2 linked regions of the Drosophila melanogaster genome follow. The protein of the gene in region 2 interacts with the protein of the main gene of each other region in a pairwise test. Each region holds a gene or a part of one and is shown on either strand. Other genes may lie near its edges.

Region 1 (13,715 bases), on a different chromosome or scaffold from region 2:
GACATGGATGCACTTAGAAAATGCAGTCGCATTTCATGTTAAGTACTGACATTAAAAAAGAGATATATGTCTGTGTTTAGATACATCTTTGGGTACCAAATTAGGTTCAGATACTTCGTAAAGAAATTGGTAATGGTATACTTTAATCGTTGGCTTCATGTGAATTTGTTTTCCCAGTATCCGCTTCTAAGTGATCTTGTATCTGACGACTACTTAGCCAACCAGAAACGTCACGCACTTTCCTTTTCCAGTGGCTGCCTCCGGGTTTCCACCACGCCCACCTTTGGCTCACCCACCTTTTCCCCTTTCCCGCTTTTCTTTGCTTTTTATTTCTCCTCTTTTTTTTTTTTTTGATGTCACTGCCATTAGGGTGCGGTCGATCGCTTAGTACTGTGTTATTAATGTAAATATTTATGCGTTTGGTGCCCAGCTTGGTTAGTTGTTGGCCAATTGTTTAGTTGTGTCCACAGAGCCGCGTCTTTGGTGCCACGGACAGTTAATGTGACATAATTTCGCTGTAAGCGCTGCAATCAAAGTGAATCTCCAGCTGAAATCGTGCTCATGGCAACCATATCGCGCTCCAATAATCACATATGCATCTTGGGGCGTCGAATTATGGAGAAGTCAATTGCCAATGGGCGCCAATGCCACTGGACAAGGTCAAGTGATGATGCCGCTGCCGATGCTCCATATCGTAAAGAACCTGATCGAATTCGGAACCCATTAGCATGCTTTTCAGGCTTTTTATAGTGGGCGTGTGCCGGCCATAAGCGTCTCACGTAGCGTATTAATGATTCACAGCGGCCCGACTTTTGTTTTAGTCTCAGCTTTTTTTTTCGATCGTTCCCTCAGATATCGTTTTCTCAGATACAGATACACATACAGATACATTTTTGTTGCGGTTGCACAGTGGTATTTTCGGGTGGCAGGGACTGGAGAATTCCCATGCCAACTGTTAGCAGCAACTTAATTATAAGATTGACTTTCGTTGATAAGTTCTATTGACATCATGGTTGCGGAATTCGAGTTATTTCAGCTCAAAAATACCCCCTTTTTCGACACCACTGGCCAACGGCCAACTGCAAACTGGTTTTGCGTGTGTCGCTATATTTATTTCCAAGATGAACGAAAAGAGCGCAAAAATGCAAACCTCAGAAAGTTCACTTTTGTTTTCAGTCTAATGTTTGTGTTTACAAACAATAGAGTGTAGAATTTCGATGGGCCAAAGTATCTGCAAGTGTGTAGCATGCCGGGTATCTCTCAGATGCGTAGATAAAACTCAACTACTGTTGCCGCTGTTAATTTGCATATGATATTGAAATTCTTCGGCTGTTCTATAATCACAACAACTGCGCATTTGTTATTGTTTTCCCCATTGCTAGTCGCTAACGTGCCAAACTCTGAATTGAACTCATTCCGGCTTACATTTCGATTCACCCAACTACCGCACACCCAAAACGGCGGCTGAGGTCACCCAGTGGGCTTCAATTACGGTCAAAAGTCACTCAATTGTGCCCCAGAGGGTCGGCCCACCGAGCGTATGAGTAATGCCATTCATAAGTCGCCTCTGCCGCTGTTGCTGCTGCTCACATAATTGTCCGTAAATGAGGTTTTTGTTCAATGCGAAGTCACATTAGCTCGAGTTGATTGTTTGCAAATTAAGCTAATTAATTTACTTGAGTATACGAGTGTAATGTGAGTAACCTGTGATTTAAACCCAGGTGACCGGCGGAGGCAGTGGGCTGGGTCGCGAGATCTGCTTGGAACTGGCGCGGCGGGGCTGCAAGCTGGCCGTCGTTGATGTCAACTCCAAGGGATGTTACGAAACGGTGGAGCTGCTCTCCAAGATTCCACGCTGCGTTGCCAAGGCCTACAAGGTGAGTTCACTAGCTGCTTGGATATTTAATGGTTTGATAACAAGAATCTTTATTCCAGAACGACGTGTCATCGCCTCGCGAGCTTCAACTGATGGCCGCCAAGGTGGAGAAGGAACTGGGTCCCGTGGACATTCTGGTCAACAATGCCTCCCTCATGCCCATGACTTCAACACCCAGTCTGAAGAGCGATGAAATCGACACAATACTGCAGCTCAATCTGGGCTCCTACATAATGGTGAGTGTGTGCTTCTGAAAATGGGACAAATATAAAACTTCTTGATTTTGCAGACCACCAAGGAGTTCCTGCCGAAGATGATAAACCGCAAGTCCGGTCATCTGGTGGCAGTAAATGCCTTAGCGGGTAAGCTTACTTGGTTAAAGTGCTTACCACTTCATTGATACCTATGTATATATAACTCGCATTTAGGTCTAGTTCCACTGCCAGGAGCGGGCATCTACACGGCCACCAAATACGGAATCGAGGGCTTCATGGAATCGCTGCGAGCTGAGCTGCGATTGTCCGACTGTGACTACGTTCGCACCACGGTGGCCAATGCCTATCTGATGAGGACCAGCGGAGATCTTCCACTGCTCAGTGATGCGGGGTAAGATTGGTTTATAGTTTGGGCAGATCACTTGGTCTCATGCGGCTACTACATTTAGCATTGCCAAGAGCTATCCCGGACTGCCCACACCATATGTGGCCGAGAAGATTGTCAAGGGCGTGTTGCTGAACGAGCGCATGGTGTATGTGCCAAAAATATTCGCACTCAGTGTATGGCTGCTCAGGTGAGAATTGAATTAGCCCAGGTAACCAGCGATTATTTCTAACGATTATTGTTGTCGCCTTGCTTTAGACTGTTGCCCACCAAGTGGCAGGATTACATGCTGCTTCGCTTCTACCACTTCGATGTGCGCAGCTCCCACCTGTTTTACTGGAAGTAGGGCACAGGAGAAGGCACATCCCCACCCAGAAGCATTTACTCCTGTTTGTTTCCCAATTGCAGTTCTTTATTCAACTGTTGCTTACGCTAGGTGTACATGTTTAGCTATTTATACGAATCTTTAACTTAAATTAAATCTATATCCTAACATTAGAATTACGTCCGGTTGGCCTTTCCTATTTTATTTCGTATAAGCCGAAGTTGTTCGGAGTAGCACATCCTCTCGGACTGCTGGACGCAGGACCTCCGTTCGTAGTGCCAAGTGTAGTTCAAGTGGCATCGATGGACCAGCTTGGAGCCACTGGAGCAGTAGTAGAAGTAGGCGCAGTTCCGTGGATGTGGCATAAAGCCATAGACTCCCTCCTGGCAGTTGATGATATTCTCTCGCGTTTGCATGCGATTGCAGGACACTAGATGAGCAGGAGTACAGGCCTTGGCCAGTCCAGCCCCCTCGTAGCAGACCATATAAGGATAACATGGTCCGGCATTGGGTAAAAGTCGCAGGGTAATCGCCAATGGTTCCGCTTTCTGAGCTGGCTTCTTGACCATCGAGGGGGATTTAGTGGTTATGCCTACGGGATCCCGGCATCTCGACACCAACTTTCGATCCAAACAGCGTTCCAATTTTTCGTCGTAGTAATGACCATCCAAGCACTCGGCCTCAAAGGATCCTGGACCGGCACAATATATGTATTTGGAGCAATTGCTAGAGCTGGCGACATAAACTCCCAATTGTGGAGCACTGGCACACTCTTCGAACTCCAGGGCACTGGATCGATGACCCAGCAAGGTCACCAAAATAATTGTTAAGAAGGTTACAGCTCCCATTTCATTTATTTTTTTAACGACCGAAATAGCGGGATGACTTCTGTAGACTGACTTCATCGATGATGGGTTGAGTATATTTTTGCATGTGCTCCAACTGATAAAGAAGACAAGTTATTCCATCGATTACTACGCTGGTTATCGTCTGGTAGATACCGCTAATGAGCACATGGCAGTAACTGCCACGCCCACTCTGGGCGGTCTCGGTAATTTGCATTTTCGTAGCATACTTCGCAGCAGCAGCAAAGCAACCGAGTATTTAATGATACCACACCGCAGCATAATGCTCGACTGGGCGCCGGTTCAATAAAAATTGAAAATGCACTCAATTCGCAATTAAGTGTCGCCACTTCCGTACGGACAAGCGGACAAACGGACGGACAAGCGGACAAATGGACGGATAAACGGACGGATGGATGGTCGTCGAACGATACCATTCAGGCCATTCAATCCATTCATCGCAGTCATCCTCATTATTATTTCCATCGTCATCGTGGTCGTTGCTGGTCGGAGTTAAGCGATGGCCATCGATTTAATATCCGATGAGATATTCATAACTTGCAATTAGGTTTGGTGGCTCTGCGCTTTACGTAAATGATTGCGTAGCCGATTAATGAAGAATTACCAGTGCAAATGGCTGGGATCTGTGGGCATTATCCAATTGACCAACTACCATGCTACCCCACTACCATTACCATTACCATAATGTGCAATGTGCCAATTGGGCTCAAATTAAAAGTTTTATTAATTGTCAATTAAACGCTGTCGCCCAGCAGCTGCTTTGTGGCATAATTTTTGGGTCAATCTGCATATCTGATTAACAGGTTATACCGCTCAGTCTACTACATATACCATGCACCAGATGCCGCGGGGCACAGACAACAAGAAGTAAAAGAAAGGACCCCATATGGTGCCGACGGCTCAAGTGATTAAGTGCACGACGAGATCTTCAAATGCAGTGCAACATGTGCACAAATACAAAACACACACACACACACACACACACGCATATTGAAAATGTATGTAAATTCTAATTAAGATTGTGGATGAAGACCCCCAGCACCTTGATACTTCTGCTCAATGCGCATTGCGCATGCGCAGCCCCGCATCCGAAGATCCATAAAAATAGCTCACTAATTATTTGTGTGCTAGGGTTACAGTTCTCATAAAAAACAAACAAACTGTCGGGCGTTTTATGGATCTTCTGCCTCTATGGCCTCAATGCCCCCGCGAAGTTTTCGATCCCCATTCGATTCGAAACCGAAGAAGAGCTACGACCAATCACTTTTCAATTCCTATGAGCAGTTGAGCATCAATTGATTTCGATATGAAAATAAAATACATTTATTTATTATCACATTACGTATCACAGCCATTCGCCCGCCTACGCCCTGGCATCTGGATCGCCACATCCATCGTGCGGACCTTGTGCCGGCATTTCCGAGCTGATTAGCCTCCGAATCTCGACCAGAACCCGGTCCGTTCGAGCCTCCAGGTTGTCGAGGGCGGTGTTTAGGTCATCCAAGCTGGAATTGACTCTGGCCATCAGACGCTCCGAGTTGTTGGTCAGCTCGATGAGGTCATCGAAACTGCTGGCCTGGCGACTCTCCATCGATATCCTGTCCAGATCCAGCTGCAGCTGCTCATCGGCGCTGTCCATCTGGGCTTTAAGGGCTGGGAAAACAACTTTCGATTTAAATTTAAATTTTTTTCACCCTAAATCATGATTTTCGGTGTTATTTTGTGCCATGCGATCCGAAGTGTAAAGCAAATTTGACTTGGTTTGTTTTGCTATCGAACATAATTAAAGTTGCTTACCATAAACCAATTTAATTTAATTGTAATTGCAGCTAACTGGCTTTTGGGTACTTTTGCTTTTAACGCCAAATGTGAAATATTAAGTATATTTTATTTAAGCGATGGCACCTGTAAATTGAGATTTAAGGGGTATATTAAATGGGTGAACTTGATGATTTTTTTTTTTCATCAAACGTTTATTAAAGTCTATTGCTTAAAAAAATGAAAGTAAATTGCTTGCCATTTTAGGAGGATATTTTTGAAAAATCGTTACAACTTTTCAAATACAATAAATTAAATGTTTTGAAAAATATTTGCGCCCAGGGCACCAGAAAGTCCACTCTTCTTTTTCGACTATTGTTTGTTTTGCTTTGTTTGTAATTGGCGAGCTATTACAAGAGCTACACTCGTTCATTTCATTAAACCCATTTACAAAATGGCTTTGTCCATTATTTATACATATCAATTATAAATTTGTGCGCTGCGACTGCAATATTCATATTCACTTGTCAAAATGTCAACTCAAAATAGAATATTTATGAATTTTTATGTGTGCATATCGGTCCGTGATTTGTTTGTTTTACGCTCTCCTTTCGAGAACTCTTTGTTAGCATTCAGGATTGGGTTGAAGTAAATAATAAAAAAAATGCAGCAACCAGAAAAGAGGAGAAAATGACAATTCAGCCTATAAATACGCGGCGGCAACCGAAGTTGAAATCAATTTTTTTGGCCCCATACTGCGGTGGTCGCGTTCCCCCCCACCCCCGCACCAGTTTGGTACTGAAAATTGGAAGTGGGCTCCACCGAATGCGGTGCCACTATTTAGTTTAGCCGCAGAACAAGGTGCCTCAATTTATTTTTAATTGCATGCAAATTGAGCCAATCGGCCGGCTGATGGATGTGGTTGCTTGTCCAACGATGCGGTCTTTTTTTTCGGCTATTAAGAGGATGGACTGCTGCTCCTTTCTGTTTCATCTGCTGGCTTAGGCATTTTCACTTAATGAATTTTCATTCAAAGTGACTGCTGCAAGGATGTGTCGTCCTGGCTGTGAAGTGAACTTCCTGCCATTAACCGAACTGCTGCTGCTGCTGCTGCCAGCATGGTGGCCAAAAAGTATGCCTCTGTTGACGTTTTCTTTGTGGTTGGCTAAAATCTGTTATTATTGCCATTAAGCTGGCTTTTGTTGTCATCTCTCCGGCCTGCCTACATACGCATACACATACATCTATGTATGCATATGCATTTGTGCATTTACCCTGCCGATATCCTTCAGCTCGAGTGGTTGTGTGGATTTTCCTGGTCTTCCAGCGGGTTAACTTGGATCTGTTCTTGAGGTTGTTATCACTTGGTTATTGAATTTTCCGCACACACTTTACAAGCTCTAAATCTAAACGGCTCAACTTGTTGCCGCCGCCCAGTTTGAAAACGTTTTTGTTACTGCTCGTCGTCATTAGTTGAAAAGCGCTCTTAGTTTGCCTCGTTTGTTTGCCGAAAAGTCTCATTGTTGCCACGTCTTTGGGTCCGGCTTCTTCTGGTTCTGTTGTTGCTGCATAACGCAGCCTGTTGTTGTCATCAGGTTGCATTTGCGTTTTACACTGTTTTGCCCAAATAAAGGCATATAATTTATGTGTGTGGTAGTAGTCCTGGTCGTTGTGCCACGTTGAATGTCCTTACCGAGCTTATATCCGAGCGGAGAATACTAAGTGAGCTGCAGCTCCATTGTGGTCCATAAACTTTGTCACGCTGTGTAGCCTCTTCCCTGGCTGCCGGCACTGGTTGTGGCCATCCTGGCCGAAGGACACTGCTTTGGAGGCGATTGCTCAGGCAGGACATGTGTGCCCCGCATCGCTGCCCGTTATTGTTTTCCAACTTTTCACTTTGGTTATGAGATGTCCGAGCGCCGCAGTCAGTTGCACGCTCGCCTCCATCAGCGTCGTCTCCATTCTCCATGCCGCTGACCACAGCGGACAACGTGGACTTTTTGACCAAGCTGGTCGTGTTCGTGCCCCGAGTGGCATACACGGCAAGAAACTATTAGGGAAGATTCAAAAAATTATTGAAGAAAACAAACTGGAACAAACTGGAATGGTGCCTTACTTGGTCTAACCATCTGTCTACATGATATATATAACATAACATAATTAGGAATACCCATTTCAAAGTGTAAATCCTCAAGATTGCATCTTAGCTCAATATTTTCTTAAGCACAAATCTTGACGTGCATGCAATTCATCATAATAATCCCTTCTTTTTTTTCCGCAGTGGAAGGACGTGTGTGCTGGTGAGTGCTGTTATGCTTATATCCTGCGGCTTAAGCATTTGTTGTTTTACAACGTTTCAGTCTGTTTGCCAAGTAAATAAAAGCTGTTAACTAGTTTTCACACACCGAAGCCGAAAAGGTGGCGGCAGGCGCTTGGAATCGCATCGGATTGGGATGGTTTGGAATGGGCTTGGCTGGGATTACATGGTTGGGTTTTCCGAGACGAGCTGCAACACGTGCTGGACAGTTTTTTGCTCGGCTCGTCCTGTTTCACTTCCTGTGCCTCGGCCAGTGCCATTCTAAATGCTTTTGTGCGTAACACTCGTGTATGAGCAATTATTTAATGCCGTCCGCTTGTCATTGTTGTCTTTGGGCCCAGAGTGTTGCCTTTGTCTTGGCCCGAACAGTAGTGGAAGCCAGTACTGGCAGTGGCAGTGGGCCAAGTCAGCTACAGCCGAGTTGTCTTTGCCGTGTCTGCCCCTTTTGTGTCGCTCATTTATTTGTGTTTATCCTTTCGCTTTTAATTGCGGCTCCGTCCTGCTCCTGCAGGACCCTCCTGCCACCGCCGCCGCCCTTTGTGTAATTACAAGTGTTTGTTGTGTAAATAATAGCGTTAGCTGCCTGGGCCGAGTACCATCGTTGACGCATCGTTTGCATGCTCAGTTAATGCCGTGCATCAGGACATCCTCCATTGTCCCTATTCCACCATTCCGCCGTCTGTGTGTTTATCTCTGTGTGCGAGTCTGCTTCTGTCTCTGTCTGTGGCACGCAAAATTAATTACAAGAATTAAGCAGCGCAACGCCCGATCTGCCGGCATTGACACAGGTGTTTTGGCCGCCCGCCGTAACGTATTTTCCTTAGATAATTCCCACACAGCTCGACAGCCATGTGCTGCACCTTGAACTCGAACTTAGACTAGGGGAAATGCTGCTGCACGGAAGAAAATTCAAAGTACTCGAAGTACTAACTACAACAATCCCACATAGAAAGTGAGTTTTGTGCTTCTAGATACCCTTTTAGTTTCATAACATCCATTTTTTCTGTGTGAAACTCCGAGCATTTCTGGAGGCGGGACATTAATTCATTCACCTAGAGACACTTACATGTGGTGCCCATTAGCTCGTTGCCACGCCCCCGTGAAAGGCGAAAGGCAAATGCCAGCGAGCCATGCGACGCCAAAAATTTCCATTTCGTTGCTTGAACCGTGCATAAATATGTCAATAGGGATTATCCCATCCCGGGCGGCAATAAAATCTTCGGGAGCTATAAAAAAAAAAAAATGAATGGAAAATAAAAATGGGGAAAATGAAAACCTCAGCTAAACAAACAGCGGCAGCGGGAGCTGCAACTTGATTATCCTGGCAACCTGCCGCGCATTTTTCCCGCCGCTGAATTATGACATTCGACTGTCAGTGTGGGTTCAAGTGGATTTGGGTTAGAAGGCATCCATGTTGCTTGGCTGCTCCCGGCAGGCGTGAGAATGCGTTATCCTTGCACCTAAACAAACACATCCGAAGCAGCATCCTGATGCGGTAGCTCCTCGAATCCTGGCCGAGTGTCATGTTGCAGAATGTTTTCGATCCTACGGATTCTTGTGCATTACACGACCGGCTAATTTATTTACTTTACGGCCCGCGGTGCACTTGTTGCGTTGCTGTACTAAACTGGAACACATGTTCCAAGGATAATAATCGAAATGGCCTGTTATCCGTGTCTCATTATGTCCTGCACTTGCTGCTGTTTCTGCTCTCGCGGTAGCACTTCAGATTGGTGTTGACAGCCGCGCTGAGAAATTGCCTCGCCCTTCTGCCTTTCCACCTTTTTTGTGTTTCTTTTTTTTTTTGGTTTTTAATATTTCTTTGGTTCCTTACAAGAGTCCTAAGCTCTGAGTGGCCGACATGCTAATGTGAAATATTACAAAACTAATGGAAAAAACGGAGAGCCATGCCATCGAGATTAGCGCGTTTGAGCACTCAAACTCCTCTCGACACTTTTCACTTTCCTCCGCCAGCTGCGGCCTCTCATTCTCTCATTCCGGCCATCTCATTCCGTTTCCATCCTGCCAGCGGTTCATCCTTTGCCGTGGGAAACTTCGGTGCACAGGTTTAACCACCACTAATCCTTTACCTTAAGCACTTTGCTACATTTTTTGTGCGGCTCTCGCTCCACCACCGAGCAGTCAATTGAGATGATTTCCTCTCGAATTTAGCTATTTTTCAAGGTAATGAACTGAATTAATTGAGAATTTTTTATTTATTAACAAAATATTATAAATTATGTAGCTTATTTAAGATGTAATATAAAATACGATTTAAAGATTGCTTAAGCATAGACTTTAAAAATAACATATATATATAGTACCGATGCAATTTTTTAACATATTGAACTCCAATATTTTCAATATAATGCTTGGCTAGTTTTTTTTGGATCACCGAGTTGAGCAGCACCTCCCGATCCTTCGCTCCACCTCCGGTGTTCTTTGAGTACCCTTTGAGCTGGAGCTGAAGTGTTGTTGGCGGGACAGCGTTGAGTGGCACGGAGTTTTGACAATTAAGGGGCTCGCAGTGGAACACTCGAGTATCGCTATCTTTATAGCTTGCCACCGCAGATTGGGAAGATTGGGCAAATGGAAAGGAGTAGGCAGCCAGTGCCATGTGCTCCTCCCGCTGCTGCTGCTCCACCAAATACGCAGACGCCTCGCCCATAAATCATCGGAGTCCAATAGCCGCAAAAAAGTCGCATGCAAAGCGCGGCGGCACCACGTGCACAAAGTGTGACCCGATTTTGGCAACATCCGAAGGCGAGTGCTGCGCTTAAATAAATACAAAATTGCATCACGTGCAGCGGAGTAAAAAAAAAAAGAAATAAAATAAAATAAGAAGGGCGATGCAGGTCCACAGCCAAGAAGTAGGATTCGTAATTGCGCCAAAATGCGCATGGAAACGAAGCTAAGGAGGCATTCCAGGCTGCATATGTATGTATGTATGTATTGGTTTTTGGGGTCGTTTTCATTTGCAGTGAACCAAAGCGATTCCGCCAGCGATCGACACATGCCCTCGAGTGCGCCGAGTGCAATAAATTGATACAAAACCAAAAGTGTCGCAAGTGCTGGTTCAAGGGGAAAGGGGGTGGTGGCAGAAAAATAAAGGGGTTGCTGGAGAGGGGTGGGGTTAACCTGCCCGATTGCTGCAGCACCTTGGCCCGGCTAAAACTCTATTAAAATGCCATTGCCAGCGGGAGTGGGAGAAGAAAGGGATGTGTGTGTGGGTATAACTAATCTAATTTCATGCAACAGCGACTAATGGATACCCTTTAAATTAGAAAAAAATGTGTCTAAAAAGTTCAGAGATACTGTGACAGTCGTACTAGATAACTATATATTTGTTTAACAAATACTAGCTACACAATAATTTGTATGATGTATGTAAATACAAGTATATATATATTTTTTCATGTTCCGATGAATCCCATTTTAGTTCGTCACAACTATAATATATACCTGAATTATTTTATCGCTCAATCTCAGCGGTATATATATATATAGTAAATCGTTTTTGCACATTACTCCATCGGTAATACTCTCATTACCCTGAAAATTAACGGCAAGCTTTATGGAGCAGCTGAAGCACCCTGCGAAAAGAAAAACTGAATATGAAATATACGTTTTTCACGAATCTCGTTTTTGTCGCTCGCTCTTTGTTATTTTTAACTAAAACCACAGCCGGCACTCGCCCCCTCTCCCCTTCCACTGCATTTCCCCCTCCCACCCGCAATATAAAATTATCCTTTGGCTGTCTATATCGTTGGTACTCTCCCCCCTTCCCATACGTTTCTATATGTTCTGCTGCTCCGCTTCGTTTATGGATATATCCACTTTATTGTCAGAAAATCATTTTTTCGTTGGCATCTCTCCGCTTTTTTTTTGTTTCCACATTTATTGAGTAAGTATACACGAGTATATTTGTTTGGATATGTGGAGCTGCTACACACTTGTAGTTGTAGTCAAAAAAAAAAAAGTGGCATTTATTTATTACTAATGGGCTGCTGGTGCGATGCCGCGACTGTCTCATCTGTGCAGGAGGTGACTTTTCTGTTTATTTGCTGACAATAACCCCCAACTCCAGAGCTCCAAAAACATGGCCAGGGAGTTGAGGTCGCGCTGGTTAATAGGTGAGGTGTGTAAATGGACGCTTGCCACACGCTCGCATTCATTTGGTGGGGTTCCGCTGAAAGTCGCGGCTAATTGCCGAACACCGCGAACCGGGTCAATTGTGGATACACTCGAATTGCAATCTCGACGGCAAGCCAGTTTTGCCGATCGATCCGCTTTCGACGGCTCGAGATTCGCGACTTGCGATTCAATGCGTTTTCGCCATTCTCTCGGCACGGTTGTGACTCAAAAGTTGGTGGTTAAAAAATAAGAAAAATGTCAGAAGTAGTACGAAACACTCTGGTAAAACTGCAGGCCATAATCGCACTGATCGGTTTGGCGGCCATAACGCCACTACTCATTTTGGTAGCACTACTCGGCCGACTGATCGCCAAACTCTGCTGGTGCTCGGCGCCGAAAAGTATCGCGGGAGAAGTGGCCGTGGTGAGTTTGGTCCAAATAGATGAGATAAACAAAATTTCATATAAACTTGGCTGTCGAAAGCGTATTAGTTACATGATAGTTGAGAAGTCAGTGAATCGTATAAATTTCAGACAATGTATGGATGTATTTTGTAATATTAGCAATGTTTTGTTGTTCTTACTAAAAGTATCTGCAAACTATGAGCTTCAATTATAATCAGATACAGAACGAATTAGGCACCTTTAACCTGGTTGGCGAAAACCTAATGGATTTCCATGCAGAACCTGGTAGGGTTAATGGTCAAAGACATTAATTTGCTCTTAAATTCGTGCAATTGCAGTTTTTAATTCAGAACAAACGGTGGACAGTCATTATTCTGCTAATTTGACAGTTTATTCATACATTTAAATTTCCATTTGCGCACATATTGACGCAATTCTAAATGATCATTTTAATTTGTATTCCACTTACAAATGGCTAGAGCTATTGTGCAACTAAAGTATGTGGCCCTTTACTCAGATTTACTAAAAACGTAATAAACTGGAATAACTGGCACAATTTGAACCGATTTGAAAAGATTAATTGATTCAATTATTGAGATACATGTAGAGCGGGGGTATCAACCAACAAATGATTCTGCTTTAGTTTATTTTAAAAACAGCTTTTAAATTCAATTTTATTTTTATTTCACTCAGGAAATGTTGCAAGTATATTCGCAATTTAGCTTATTAGGTCATTTTTATGAAATAATTTTCGCTTATTATATAACGTTTTTTCTTTACTTTTAAATTTGAATTGAATTTAATTTAAATCACAATTTAAACACATAAAACTTTGTTTAATAAATGAATTGTCACTGTCACTGTTTCATTAGCTTGTCATGACTTAGAAATTGAGTGGCAAACTTGATTGCGTGCTTACTGCAGTCAATGACTCACAACTTATATAATCAATGTGTTTATCTCGTTACGATCTAGGTCACTGGAGCTGGTCATGGACTAGGTCGTGCCATATCCTTGGAACTGGCTAAAAAAGGCTGTCACATCGCCGTGGTGGATATCAATGTTTCCGGAGCGGAAGACACCGTCAAGCAAATCCAAGATATCTATAAGGTTCGCGCAAAGGCATACAAGGTATATTAACTTATATATATGTATTTTAATTAAGGCTTTTAAATACTCAATAGTTCGAAACAATTATTAAACTAACTACAAGTAATTATAATCTTATTCAAATTCCAATTTCCTAGGCCAATGTAACCAATTACGACGATCTAGTTGAGCTGAACTCCAAAGTGGTCGAGGAAATGGGTCCAGTTACCGTCCTGGTTAATAATGCTGGTGTCATGATGCATCGCAATATGTTTAATCCGGACCCGGCCGATGTGCAGCTAATGATCAATGTTAACCTTACGTCGCATTTCTGGGTGAGTTTTCT
Region 2 (2,835 bases):
TTAATGCCGCTGCAACGGCATTTTATGGCAAATTATGTTTGGCTTCATTTCCACTGATAAGTATCGGACTTCAGCTTTCTGTCGAAATTTATCGCATATAATACGTTTTGCCAATATCTCGAGCGGCAGACGACGAACTTGAAGAATGTCCTTTCTTATTTATTGCTTTTAACATATTTGTTTGGCTCCAAGGCAATTCGTCTTTCTATGTGAATGTGGCGAAAGGCAAATGCAAATTTCAGTCTCAAATTTTCCGACTTTGCAAAGTTTTCGACAAAACAAAAGGCCCCCTGACAATATGCAGCTGCTCGAAATTGCTTGGGGTAACATTTTTGAAGGGCGGTCAATGAAAAGTTTATTATGCGCCGAAAAGAAGTCCACAAAGTTTGTGGACCGAATGAAAGCAAGTTTGGCAATTGTGTGTGGAGGGCCACTAATAAATTGCAAATATCGTTGAAAATAGTTTAGATTATGGCGATAAGGGCAGTATACAATGTATTGCTTTTGCTCATTGCTCAGTTTATTATATGCGCTTAGTTTTCGAATCCTTGGCTTGTGTTAATGCATAATTTTTTAACAATTAACTCGGGTCTGTTTGTGATTTGTTAAATGGGCTTCAATAACAATAACAATAAATAAATACAATAAATTTATACATTTTTGAAAATGAGAAATATAAAAATGTTCTTATATCATTGGTTGGTGGTTTCGTTTTCTTGTTCGACGTTTTCAAATCGCATTGGATTATCGCCTCCAGCCAACTGGTCGGCGTTTTCGCCAACAGGTACGGATGGAATTCGAGCATGGAGCTTCCTCTTCATCTGGACCACGGCAGAGTTGGCCATGCTAATGCGATTAATGATTCGGTTCAGACGCTCCTGAATGTTCGAGAATACCTGCTCGGAGAAGCGAGCGTCCTCAGAGGTATCGAGAGGCCCCACTGCAGTTGCTTCGTCACTATTGTTTTGGCTACCTTCTGTATAGGGCTCGTAGCTTTCAAGGTCTTGGAATATATCAGATCCGTCGTCCGACATTTTGACAAAAAAAATATATTTCAGAAATTTCAATAGTTATTCAGGAGCTGTGAACTAGAACAGACTTAAGTGCAAACAGATCAAAGACAGAATTTATACTGACAACAAAATCGAGAGCAGCATGTTTGATATAGTAACTCTATACAATAAACAATAGTATTAATCCAAACTCCATAAATATGAGTAGATGGTCACAACGTTGAAACATTTTTAATTAAGCGACACATCAAACTATATTTTTTATTTAAAACCAACGTTTTAATTATCTTCAAAATTAAGAATAGACGGATTTAAAACCTCTTAAGAAATCGCAACCCACTTGGCATGTAATCATGTGTGAAATGTGTTCAGCAGGGTCATAAAATCAGAAATCAATTAAAGCAATTTAAGAGCGAGGAGAGCAAACGATACGGATATGGATGTCGAGAGTCGAAAGTTGCCAGGGCACAAGGCAAATAAATCTCTGAAACGACTCTGCCAAAAAGGACGCACTTTGGGTGGCAGTGAGGATAAAAGTTTCCCCACAGCTGAACGAGGCGAACGAAATCAAAGTCTATAACTTAACGACTGCAATGAGAATGATGCTGATGACGATGTCGACGATGTGAAACGCCCTCAAGGTCCACCCCATTCCGTCCACCCGTTCCACCCACAGCCCGCCACCATTCGAGGAAAATCCGTACGCAGAAAAAGAGAGACAAAAGCCGAAAAGGGAGGAAATGCAGCATTCATTCTCTCGCCATTTTCCCCTTAACCCTCCCCTTTTCCCATGGCTCTTTGCCATCATTCTTTCAGTGAGTTTTTCGCCTCCATGTGCTAAATATTTGCCAGCCATTTCTTTATTTTTCTCTGGCCTTTGTCGCCAAACTGGATTCCCATCTTGATACCCATCGCTCTGCCACATCGTAATAAAGCAATAAATCTGCTGAGGAACTGCTCCTCATAAATTCCGTTACGCATAAAAACACTTACAAATGACTTTTTGTTCAATGGAATAAATGGCATGGCACTACACACATACTAAGATGTATATATGGAGCTGTAGCTGCGAATGCATGTTCATGACTGCACCAAGTTAAATTCACACACTTGGCTTTCTATATCTTCCGGGATTCGCTGAATCCTCTATTGATAATGCCATTTGGCATTTGGCTTGTGGCAAGGCTTTGACTTTTGCGACGTCTTTCACTTTATGGGCTTTCTATTGAAAACTCGTTGCGCTGCTAAGTAGGCAACATTTTTCAGCTCGCTCTAGTTTGTTCGCTTGTATCTTCGGGCGTAATAAACTACGGGATAAATTAAGTTTTTGTAAATAAGTGTAGGAATCTGGTGAAAAAATGTTGTAAAGAAATCCTGTCACTGAAGTTAAATTACAAATTAAAAATAAAATGTACTCGGAATAAATAAATAGTTGATTAAGAAATATAAGAAAGCCATACGTTTAATATTTAATATTTACAATACCCAACTCATTATATGTTATAACAGTTAAAGCTCTGTTTTTTATATTTCACAGAATCATAACATAAAACTCGTTACGAGTTTTATCGACATTTTTTTACGCACATATTTCACATTAAATATTTAAAATAACAGCTCGCGATCAATCTAAATTAGTAGAGATGTACATATGAAAAAACCCTCTAAATCCCTACCCTTGTTTATGCCAAGTGGTCTCATGCTGTTGCCTAATCTGCTGTCCAAATCACTCTTGCAACATGTTGCACGACCAACTAATTGATGATATAATTGAATGTTCAGAGACCATTTCCCAGTTCGTTAGGCTCTGGCTCTCCACAAA

Evidence for each region.
Region 1: the proteins of gdrd (region 2) and CG13838 interact in a two-hybrid assay, tested with the Drosophila melanogaster proteins (2 studies listed by BioGRID).

What each region holds. Positions count from the first base shown.
Region 1 is NT_033777.3:23,033,924-23,047,638, reverse strand, and holds CG13838 (uncharacterized protein), read right to left. Parts: upstream 5,399-13,715; 5' UTR 5,307-5,398; coding exon 5,031-5,306; 3' UTR 4,970-5,030; downstream 1-4,969. Other genes in the region: CG17121 (uncharacterized protein), read left to right, coding at 1,722-1,877, 1,936-2,112, 2,166-2,238, 2,305-2,482, 2,541-2,666, 2,735-2,822; CG13837 (uncharacterized protein), read right to left, coding at 2,978-3,649; CG13833 (uncharacterized protein), read left to right, coding at 12,132-12,299, 13,256-13,411, 13,528-13,704.
Region 2 is NT_037436.4:14,689,628-14,692,462, reverse strand, and holds gdrd (goddard), read right to left. Parts: upstream 1,117-2,835; 5' UTR 1,035-1,116; coding exon 693-1,034; 3' UTR 501-692; downstream 1-500.